Caenorhabditis elegans: one gene and its partner. The protein of the gene in region 1 interacts with the protein of each later gene in a biochemical or structural test. Each region holds a gene or a part of one and is shown in the gene's direction. Other genes may lie near its edges.

What was found.
Region 2: of the proteins of famk-1 (region 1) and clec-233, one has a biochemical effect on the other in vitro, tested with the Caenorhabditis elegans proteins (one study listed by BioGRID).

What each region holds. Positions count from the first base shown.
Region 1 is NC_003284.9:15,208,731-15,215,337, reverse strand, and holds famk-1 (Extracellular serine/threonine protein kinase CeFam20), read left to right. Parts: upstream 1-2,078; 5' UTR 2,079-2,105; coding exon of another isoform or gene 2,106-2,138; 5' UTR 2,139-2,160; coding exon 2,161-2,254; intron 2,255-3,316; coding exon 3,317-3,596; intron 3,597-3,690; coding exon 3,691-3,900; intron 3,901-3,950; coding exon 3,951-4,043; intron 4,044-4,124; coding exon 4,125-4,237; intron 4,238-4,299; coding exon 4,300-4,453; intron 4,454-4,502; coding exon 4,503-4,645; intron 4,646-4,946; coding exon 4,947-5,243; intron 5,244-5,352; coding exon 5,353-5,507; 3' UTR 5,508-6,049; downstream 6,050-6,607. UniProt on the Caenorhabditis elegans protein: Golgi serine/threonine protein kinase that phosphorylates secretory pathway proteins within Ser-x-Glu/pSer motifs.
Region 2 is NC_003283.11:16,232,077-16,235,705, forward strand, and holds clec-233 (C-type lectin domain-containing protein), read left to right. Parts: upstream 1-1,847; coding exon 1,848-2,204; intron 2,205-2,250; coding exon 2,251-2,561; intron 2,562-2,604; coding exon 2,605-2,785; 3' UTR 2,786-2,822; downstream 2,823-3,629. Other genes in the region: gst-22 (glutathione transferase), read right to left, coding at 36-195; F21H7.3 (Serpentine Receptor, class E (Epsilon)), read right to left, coding at 619-832, 881-1,179; srh-98 (Serpentine Receptor, class H), read right to left, coding at 3,095-3,159, 3,227-3,629.

The sequences.
Region 1 (6,607 bases):
CGTAAGTGATGGATTTGTGTACGTCTTATTACTTTTTTTTTCAATTTTCTTAACAGCTCACATCGTAAAAAATGCATATAATGCTTTAAAATCACAACTTTTTTTATTATTATTTTTGATTAAATCACTTTTCCCGTTTTCTATAAAACTTCATCTAAGACTCAGATTATATTTCCTTTTTTGAATTGTTAAGTAGTTTCCCTGTTCCCCAAGCCTAGTATTACATCAATCTCCCGCCCACATGCACTTGCAGGTGACTAAATAATAAAAAGTTCCACACCATTTGAAACCGAATGCTTGAACCAAGTAACCTTTTGCAATTGCAGATCATTTGAACCTTGGGTAACATTCAATAATTAGAATTAGTTGGCATTATATTTAAAAAGTTTAAACATCAGTTAACTGTGTAATCAATTTTTTTCTTCATCTTTCTTATCATATAGTTTTTGTTTTGCTTGAAATTTGTTTTTCTCTGATATCATCATTCTGACTACAATTTGAGAAAGATTATTTTTTCTTGATCCAATGTTTTTATTTTATGGTTAGAAAATAGAAAGAAAAAATCTTTAAATTTTGAATCAGATTTGGAATTAAAATAGAAATATTGAAATTTCAGATTCGTACTTATTTTTCATATTTTTCTCTCTATGTGCAATGTTTAAAAGTGGAGTAGCGCCAGTGGGGATTGTTTCTAAATAAACCTATAATGATCCAAAACGACCAAATATCATAATCAACCACTCCTTTTTTTTCCGGACAAAGTTCTGGAAAATTGACAAATTTTTGAAAAATATGAGCTTTTGAGGAAATCCAAAGCAATGTCGTATGTTTTGACTCTTACAATGTTTAAATCCAAATAAATAAAACAAAATTACAATATAAAAAATGCAGAAAAACAAATTTTTTTTTGGTCGAAATCCAAAATTATGAGTGGCAAAAACTGAGTAATTGTCACTTTTTGACAGTAAATAAAAAAATTTTGAAAACTTTTTTGAAAAGTTTTATTATGATATTCGGTTATTTTGGCACCATAGGAATGGTTTTTAACAATTTCCCCCTGGCGCTACTCCACTTTAAGATTTTAAAAGCTTATGTAAAACCACACGTTTGATCGTAAAACGTTTAAGCCTAGTTTATTTGAGCAGTAAATATATCTGCATGGGAGCAAAATTGATTTTAATTATGAGTTTTTTTTCAAATTAGTAACAAATTAACAAACTTGAATTGGTCCGATTTATAAATTTTGATAAAATAAGTGTTGTTTTTCCAATTAAAAAAACTATTTAGTAAAAGTATTGTCGTTGATTTTTCCTCGTCGCTAATTGAAATTTCCTGTCAAACTTACAGTTTTTGTTTAATTTTCTACATAAAATATTCTCAAAAGCGAACCAAATTTTCTGTTTTTTAAACGGATAATAAATCAAATTTTGGTGCTCATCTCTTATTAAAGGCTCATAATATACATATAACGGATCATTTCTAGATGTGGGATATCAAAAATCTCAATCTCGTTCTCCACCCTGACCACATCCCAAATGATGACCCAGCTAATTTTCCAAAAAGTCCCATTTACCACCAATAAGTTCGGTGACGCAAGGTGGGCAATCCTCCGTCAATTTCTTGCTTCCCAGCACTTTACGAGCAAACACACACAGCGACTCTGCCGAAGAAACGAACCACACACACCTTTGACGTTCCCAGGCCCTTCCCTCCACATCATTCGCCGATGTTTACAGCCTCTTCGCCTCTCCAATGTTTTGTCGTTTTTACAATATACAAGGTGTGCGGGTCTGTCAGTTTAGGAGTGGATGGAGGAGGAGGAGGTGGTTGATGGCGTGCGTGTGGTGATGTTTCTCGAAAACAGTGTGGCAGTTTCTTTTTCTCTCCCCCCACTTGCCCTCTTCTGTCCATTAGAAGAAACTTTAATTGAATTTATAGGACTAGAATTGAATTGTAATTGGTATATATTGCTGGAGTAAATTATTAATTAATCGCTTTGATCTCTTGTTTCCTCATTCTACCCCATTATTTATCTATAATAGCTTATGAACCTCACCCCATAAATGCTCATTTTGCAGTGTCACAAAACTGGGAGCCGGCGTTTGATGAAGCTGAAACCAGCAAAGAGCAAGAAGTGAGACGAGAAAAGTCCAGAAAGACATGCGGTGCAATATAAAGCGATTATTCACTTTGGCGATCGGAGTTTTTGCGGCTACACTGGTTATAATCTCGTTTTCCAAGGACAACTATGAAAGTAAGTTCTAAAATTGTATATGTGTTGTTTATTGGTTGAAAATGATTATTTGAATTCGCTAGAAAGGAATAGTGGCGATAGCAATCGATAAAACAAGAGAGAAACTATGCCTAAATGTGGCCTATAACATGTGGGAGTTTTGTGACAATTTTGTCTTTATTGTCTATATGAAAATTTAGATCAAATCTCAATTTCCGAAAAAAATGGAAAAACTTTAGACATCTTTGAATACTATTTTAATCAACACTTTTCCACAAAAGTTTTTATATTGTTCCTAGAAAAGTATTAAAAAAGTAGTAGAAAACTTTTTGACAATGACACGTTGGAAAAAATTACAAAAAAATGTTTATGAACTTTGTATTTTCTTGAAAATCTGGCAGTTTGCCAAAAATTTGATTGCAATTTTTAATAAGTCTGAAACGTTCTACATATATAGATTTTCGTAGTTTACCCATTTTGATAATATTTTTACTAGGCCTATTCGAACTTTATAATATTAAAGGCGGAGTAGCGCCAGTGGGGATATTGTCTAACTACACTAATAATGATCCAAGAAGACCGAATATCATAATAAAACACTCCAAAACATTTTTAGATTTTTTATAATTTCCGATCAAAGTTTTGGCAAATTTCCACAGTTTTGAAAAATATGAGCTTTTGGTGAAATCTGGAGCAACGTCGCATGTTCCGACCCCTGCAATGTTTAAATCCTAATAAATAAAACAAAATTAAAGCGTAAAAAATGTAGGAAAAAATAATTTTGGTCGACTTCCAGTATTATAAGTGGCAAAAACTGAGTAATTGCCACTTTTTGACAGTAAATAAAAAAATTTAGAAAACATTTTTGAAAAGTTTTATTATGATATTCGATCATTTCGGCATTTTAGGAATAGTTGTTAACAATTTCCCCACTGGCGCTACTCCACCTTTCAATTATCTCTCTTTTCTAACAGTTCTTATGATAACTATATTTATTAAACTCTGGGCCTGTATGACTAAGTTGATAGTTTTAAACAAACCATTCACAAGGTTTCTCCTAAATAATCTTGCATCCATTTTCAGGAGAATGGAAACAAGGACCTCAATCAAACGAAGCACGAGCTGTAGGCCACCAGAGTCCCGACTTGTTTCCAGTCGGACAAAATAGTCTACCACACCAGCCAATTCCTCCAAGCCTTGGCGAGAAGGATCTTAGTGATCCATTCAACTTCTTGTTTTCATCTAACAAAATCACTTTACGCAAACTTTATGATCTCACTAAAAATGTAGATTTTGATCAGTTAAGGCAGAACGAGTGCAAGAAGAACATCACGCTTTCAAAGTTCTGGGAGAAGTCTGAACAGTAAGTTTTATATTTTGAAATTTCAAAAATTGAAAATGAAAATGAAAATTTTAACACCAGCTGCCAGCAAAAAAAAATCTCATCACTGTTTCAGGAGAAATGTGCCGGAAGATGACAACTGGGAGAGGTTCTACTCAAACATTGGAAGTTGTTCGGTGTACTCGGATGATCAAATGATTGACAACTTGCTGCACGATCTCAACACAAGTCCCATCAAACACGTGCACATTATGGATGGAGGCACTCAAGTGAAATTTGTGTTCACCTTCAAAAACGATAAGCAGGCCGTGTTTAAGCCGATGAGGTTTGATGAACAGAGAACACCGGAAAATAGTTGTTTTCTTTCTTTTTCAGATTTGGACGCGATTATGAATCGGATCCGAATCATTTCTACTTCAGTGATTTTGAACGACATCATGCAGAAATCGCAACTTTCCATTTAGACAGGTTAGTGGATTAAATAATGGATTTGTTTTTGTTAGAGATGGTTATCAATTTTTTTTTTTAAATCGGTCAGTTGAATTTCAGAGTGCTCGGCTTCCGACGAGCAATCCCCACCGTTGGACGAGTTCTCAATATGACAACTGAGCTGTTCGAAAAAGCAGAGAAAAAACTCAAGAAGACTTTCTTCTTCTCTCCAGGTACAGTTGACATCAAGACACCAAACCTGTTCACCACATCAATTTTATAAAAATAATTCCAGCCAAAAACTTTTGCTTCGTGTCACGATGCGATTATTACTGCGACACGACACATGCAATTTGCGGTCTTCCTGATATGAAGGAAGGCAGTGTGCAAGTGTTCTTACCCGACGAGTCAGCAGTTCCTCGGAAGCATAATAGGAGTCCGTATAGACGGTAGGTTGAAGGCCGATGGATAATAAAATAGCTAGCAGACTGTTTTCAGAACCTACTCGAAAAAGAATCAAGTAGCTGAATGGCAGTCGAGTATGAATTATTGCACGGATAAGGTGAAAACCAAGCGACAATATGCTCATGGAAGAAGGTTACTTGATCTGGTTGATATTCATATTTTGGATTATTTAATAGGTAAGAATTTGCAGTTGTCAAATTTTGAACATAAAAAACCGGTGGTGTTTGCACCCTCCGAATGGATGGTAAATATAGAATAACTGTACGGAATTTTTTTTTCGTATTTCTGACAGTGCTACGAGTATTAAAGTTTCATAACTGTTCTGTATGAGGAGAGTAATTGAAAGACAGCAACTGTACAATATAGAATTTGCTGCTCACAGTGCTTTTTATGGACCTCGTTCAATGTCGGGTGCACATTTACCACAAGTTTACTAACATTTTATTATTAACCAAAGACTAAACTACAAACATCCAGGAAACCAAGACCGTCATCACTTCGAATCCTTCAACGTGTTCAACGATCTTCCTTCCTATGCGATCCATCTCGACCATGGTCGAGCATTTGGCAGATCTGACTTTGACGATGACGACATCATTCTCCCGCTCCGACAATGCTGCATCCTACGTCCATCCACTTTCCAGACCCTTATGAATTTCTACAGTACACCAAAGTCACTGACGAAAGCCCTACACGAGTCATTATCGAAAGATCCAGCCCATCCGATTTTGGCTTATAAGCATTATCCGGCAATGGAAAGGCGGTTAGCAAAAAGTAAGTATTGAAATTATATTGAAAGGTTACCGAAAAACCTGAAAAATATTTTCCTGTGAAAATTCCAATTTGGGAATACAAAACTTAAAGAAAAAAAAACAATTTTCAGTTATGTCTCACATACTGGAATGCTTCGAAAGCCGGGGAGTTGCCGAAGTTCTAGTTGCCGAGTACAACAACCCCGATGTCTCAGACGCCGAGCAAAACGACGAAGAGCAAAGCGAGGAGCATCAGGATAAGAAGGATGATAAGAAAACTGTTTAGTCGTCATTCGTTAGGTCTTCTCAATTTTACCAAGGTCATGTAGTAGCATTTTAAATTTCCCTCTTAAACTTCAATGTTTCTTTGCGTTGCATTCGGGTCTCGAGCTTCTTTCACTCTCTGTTATTGTTGTATTTTTTCTTTTCACTTCCCCCCGTTTTTTAAACCCACAAGAAGGTATCCCATCCATCGCTCCACGGTTTCTCTCTGGTCAAACATTCATTTATGAGGGTCATATTATGTAGGTCAAATCAAAAACAAATCGGTGTTATAATATCGAAAAAATTTCTCGAAGAATTTGAAAAGTAACCTGATAGTTGTTTTGTGTAGAATTTCTGTTGAATATTATGATTATATATTCTCAGCTCTTTTTTTGTCATTTCTTTTTTTTTCCTATTGAATATCATACTTCTTTTATCAAAAGACGCAAACTTACTGGGTATATAATTCTCGCTGAGCAATGTGGCTGCAGTGCTCCATTTCTTGTCAAATCGGTTGTTTTTTTTTCTACTTTCAGGACGAATCATAAATGTTGTGATTAAATTGTTCTGTGTTTTTTTTTTCATTTCCAGTACAGGAATTGTTATTTTCAGAGATCAAGTTTCAAGGAATTTTTTAAAATTTTTTTAAAAAAATTTTAGTTTCAAGTAATTAAAATTTTGACAAAAAGTGGACCCTAATGACCGAATATAACTGTTCAATATTGCTAACAATTTTCAAAATTTCAAAAAAAATTTCAAAATTTCAAAATTTTTTATGATTTTTCAACTTTGCAAAAATTAAAAAAAGCGGCCAAATTAAATTTAAATTCCCGCGCAAATGAGTGACGTCATTTTCAATATTTTCGCGTTTTCTGGCTTAATTTACCAGGTTTCCTTGATTTCATCTTCTGCATTTGAGTTAAAATTCTGTTAGTCAATTTTTCGAACACTTTTCTTTAAAAAAATATTATAAAAAATATTAAAATTGTCGATTATTAGGTTGATTTTGAAATTTCCGCTTTACGGAAAAGTAATTTAAAAATTGACAAACGGTGTTTCTAATCAAATGCTAAAGAAAAAATCATGAAAAACAAATGCATTCAGCCAGAAAACGAAAAAATA
Region 2 (3,629 bases), on another chromosome or scaffold:
TGGACTATGCTCAGTGGGCTATTAGTTTGACTCACTGTCTTTCAACGCTGAAAATTCGTCACTTTGAAATCCCGGAACAGCATTGATCGTCGGCAGTCGAACATCCTCATATGGTACCCCACCAAGATGGAATAACATTCGTGCTGACTCTCCAAACCCACAAGCATCAAAGTAAGTCAGTTTGTAAGAGGGCATATTTTATTTGTGAAGTTAGTTGAATCAATAAAGAATTTATACCTTTACCAACCTTTATCGATGACTCTTATCGCGATTGCAACTTTTCCCCTTATCGCAAAAAACTGCAGAGACAGTTCAAAATGTGGAGGTATTATGTGAATATTAAGAAATCATTGCATGATTCATACCTCTATTAAATGAAATCATGATTTTATTATATTTTATTGGTTTACATATGAAGACTGTACTAATGGGTGATACTGTCTGTACGATCTTCAGAAATTTTTTTATGGATTTTTAGCAGAAAACGAGAGCTGTGATTGAACAAAAAAAACTATTCCTTTTGTTTTTGTTAAAAATTAAGTGTTATTTTTAATTGCTTGTAAAAACAATGTCATGTCGGCAAAACAGATGCATTTTCAAATTATACAATATGTTAAATTATAGAATATAACTATACAACCACATTGTAACTTTTCTATCAAACTTTGCTTTACAATTCATGCAAAATATATAAATAGTCCCTATCAAGGAGACTATATAAGTTATGGAAGCAATAATACAAAATCCGGAAACCGAGAAAAGAACAGAAGATTTGCATAAATAAATCGGTCGGCCGAGTTGTTCATAGCTCCAAATAGCTCCAAGGGCAACCCTGAAACTTTTCTAGTTTTTAGACATTTGTAAATTTGAAATCAATTACGCTATTAACATGACTCCTTCCAACGCATATTTTATTGATATCCACCAAAAATTTTCGAACCAGTTTTTCTTTCTTCCATCTTGCGGAACATCCTCCATGAGTTTCTTCACTTTATTGAATAGAATTTTCCAATAAATAATTCTATCAATAATAATTAAAATACCAACAAAAATAAGCCATAATGGAAGAAGCGGGTTCTCACATTTTCCTTGGTTTTTAAAGCCGATTGATAGGAACCATATTGGAATAATAAGGAAGAATAAGTTCAAAATTACCAAGTAACAAATATGGTGTGTCATGGTCGAAGAGAAAAGTTGAAAATAGGTTGAATTAGTTGTGTCAAATTGTTATCAAATAGAGTGGTATCAATCACTTCCTCAGTCCCTGTGTTCGCGGAACTTTTGAATGAGTGAGAAAGAGAGAGAGAGAAAAGAAGAGAAACCAAATTTTAGTCACAGATTACACTAAAGTAAGAGATGAATAATGTATGTTAAGTGTACTGGCATTGACCTACGGGATTAAACTATCAGGATTTGTAACTTATTCTAACCCATGTCAATGTTCTGAGACTTACATATCTGCCCGCGCTTTCTTCATTTCGAGTCACCAACATCCTATATACCGTGAGAAATACATTCAATATAGTTCAAATGTGAATACAACACTCCAAGAGTTAACATTTTGTTTTAAAGTATTAACTGTTTTACCTTTCTCCTTCGGCACAAAAATCCTGTGAAATCTGGAGACAGCTCAGAAGAACATCGACATAGAAAAAGGCTCTAAGACCCCCGCTCTAGTGAAAGTAGATGGCTTGAGTTCAAGAGACCTAATGGTTTTAAACTGTAATTAATTTTCTTCTTCAAGTTCACTGCAAAATTATTTTGAAAAACATTTTAATTGTAAGATGCAAACTAAACTCAAATATGTTAACCACAATTTTCTGTTTTTTTACAATCCCGGTTTGGTGATGCCGTTTTATTATATTTTTTATTACCAACCGCCTGTTTCCTACAAAAAGCAAGAGTTTCTGCGCCGGAAAGTCAGAAAAATGAGGGTTGCTATTCTATTCCTCCTTTTTGCAACTTCTACGCTTGCAATTTTTATTGACGGTGGAGGGCGAGGTGGTGGAGGTGGGGGAGGCTATTACTCCCACTCTTCGTCTTCGTCTAGCTCATCGTCCGAAGAGCATGGCCATCATAGACCGCCACACAGGCCCCATAGACCACCACATAGACCACATAGACCACCAAGACCCCCACCAAGACCTGAGTGCGATGAAGGATGGCTTCGTTTTGAAAGACCTAATGGTGTTTGGTGTATTAATGTTAGTTTTTGGCTTCATTTACTAAAGATGACATACATGTTTTCAGGTTGTTCATAGTGGAGTAACAAATGGGTATTTCTCTCAGCCACAGGCTCAAGCTGCTTGTTCTGCGTCGGGAGCTACTCTAACCGGATTCCAAAATGACAATGAGCGTATGACAGTTGCCTCTGAAGCATTGAAGAAGCTCACCGCAGCTGGCGGCCAAATTGCCGGGCTTTGGCTCGGAGCAACTAACACCCCGAATTGTAAAGTTGCAAGCTGTGAACCATATGCAACTTACACCTGGACCGATGGGGACACAACTGGCAATGGAGGATTCAAATGGGGACGTGACGAACCTGATAACCTGAATTGGCCGTAAGTAAAACGTTTCAGAATTAAGTTTCATAGAACAAATTAGAGGGCCCACGATCTGTATTCAACAATTTATTATGCAACCAAACTGGGTGGTGGGGCCAAATGATTACGCTGTATGGAAAAACTATTTCACCAATGGAGATTTAGACAAGTACCAGTGTGGCGCACAAGCATACCCATTTACAAGAATGTACGTATGTGGAAAGAGGGGTGTATCACGTTAAACGTTAAGCATGCCAATAAATTATTCAAACTTTCGTATTTTTTTGTTGTAATTGTCTAAGTTAGTAGAGTATACCTGGTCTCTCGCAAAACTTGTTCGATGTCGGCTGCAAACGGAACAGACGGGTTTAAAAGTTCCGTTGTTCAAATATCAATTTCAGACTACACATGCGTTATATAACGTACATATTCATTCCTTCACAATTACTAAAAAATTAAATCTTCTACAAAGAAAAGTGTACAGTACGCATGTACAACTTCCTCACTCTCTATTTACTGCAGCCGACGCTTTGCGGATTGCGCCGTCGCATTCAACAGCGTGATGTATACCCGGAAGTAACCTGCACTGGGATTGATTGGACTTTAGTGTTACACGCTGAAAAAAGTTGCAGTTGATGATAATTTAAACTGCTTCGAAATTTCATTTTGAAAAAAGTTCTTACGTTGGTTATACCACCGATTGATCATTAATTTCATGGCATTTCGATAATGTTTGTGAACCGATAGTATCACAATACATTCTACAATTCCGTGCAATGCAATACAATCCACTGCAACGTTCATCAATTCTTGAGAATATCGGTTCAAATATAAAGAAACTGCGACAAGAATCACAGGAAGCGTCATGAATGAGAACAGTGTAAAAATTTGGAGCAAAGTGCCAACAAGGAAATTTCTTTGATAAAGTTGAGTAGCCATGGAAACGGATTTCGGAGGTGCTATATAAAGGTAGTACACAGTGCACCAGATATGAAATAAAAAATGAGCCAGTGTGTTGAGAGCAAAAAAAGGTATATAGACGTAAATAACCAAGTGTAGATTATTTGTATTGGATATCAAAATGTA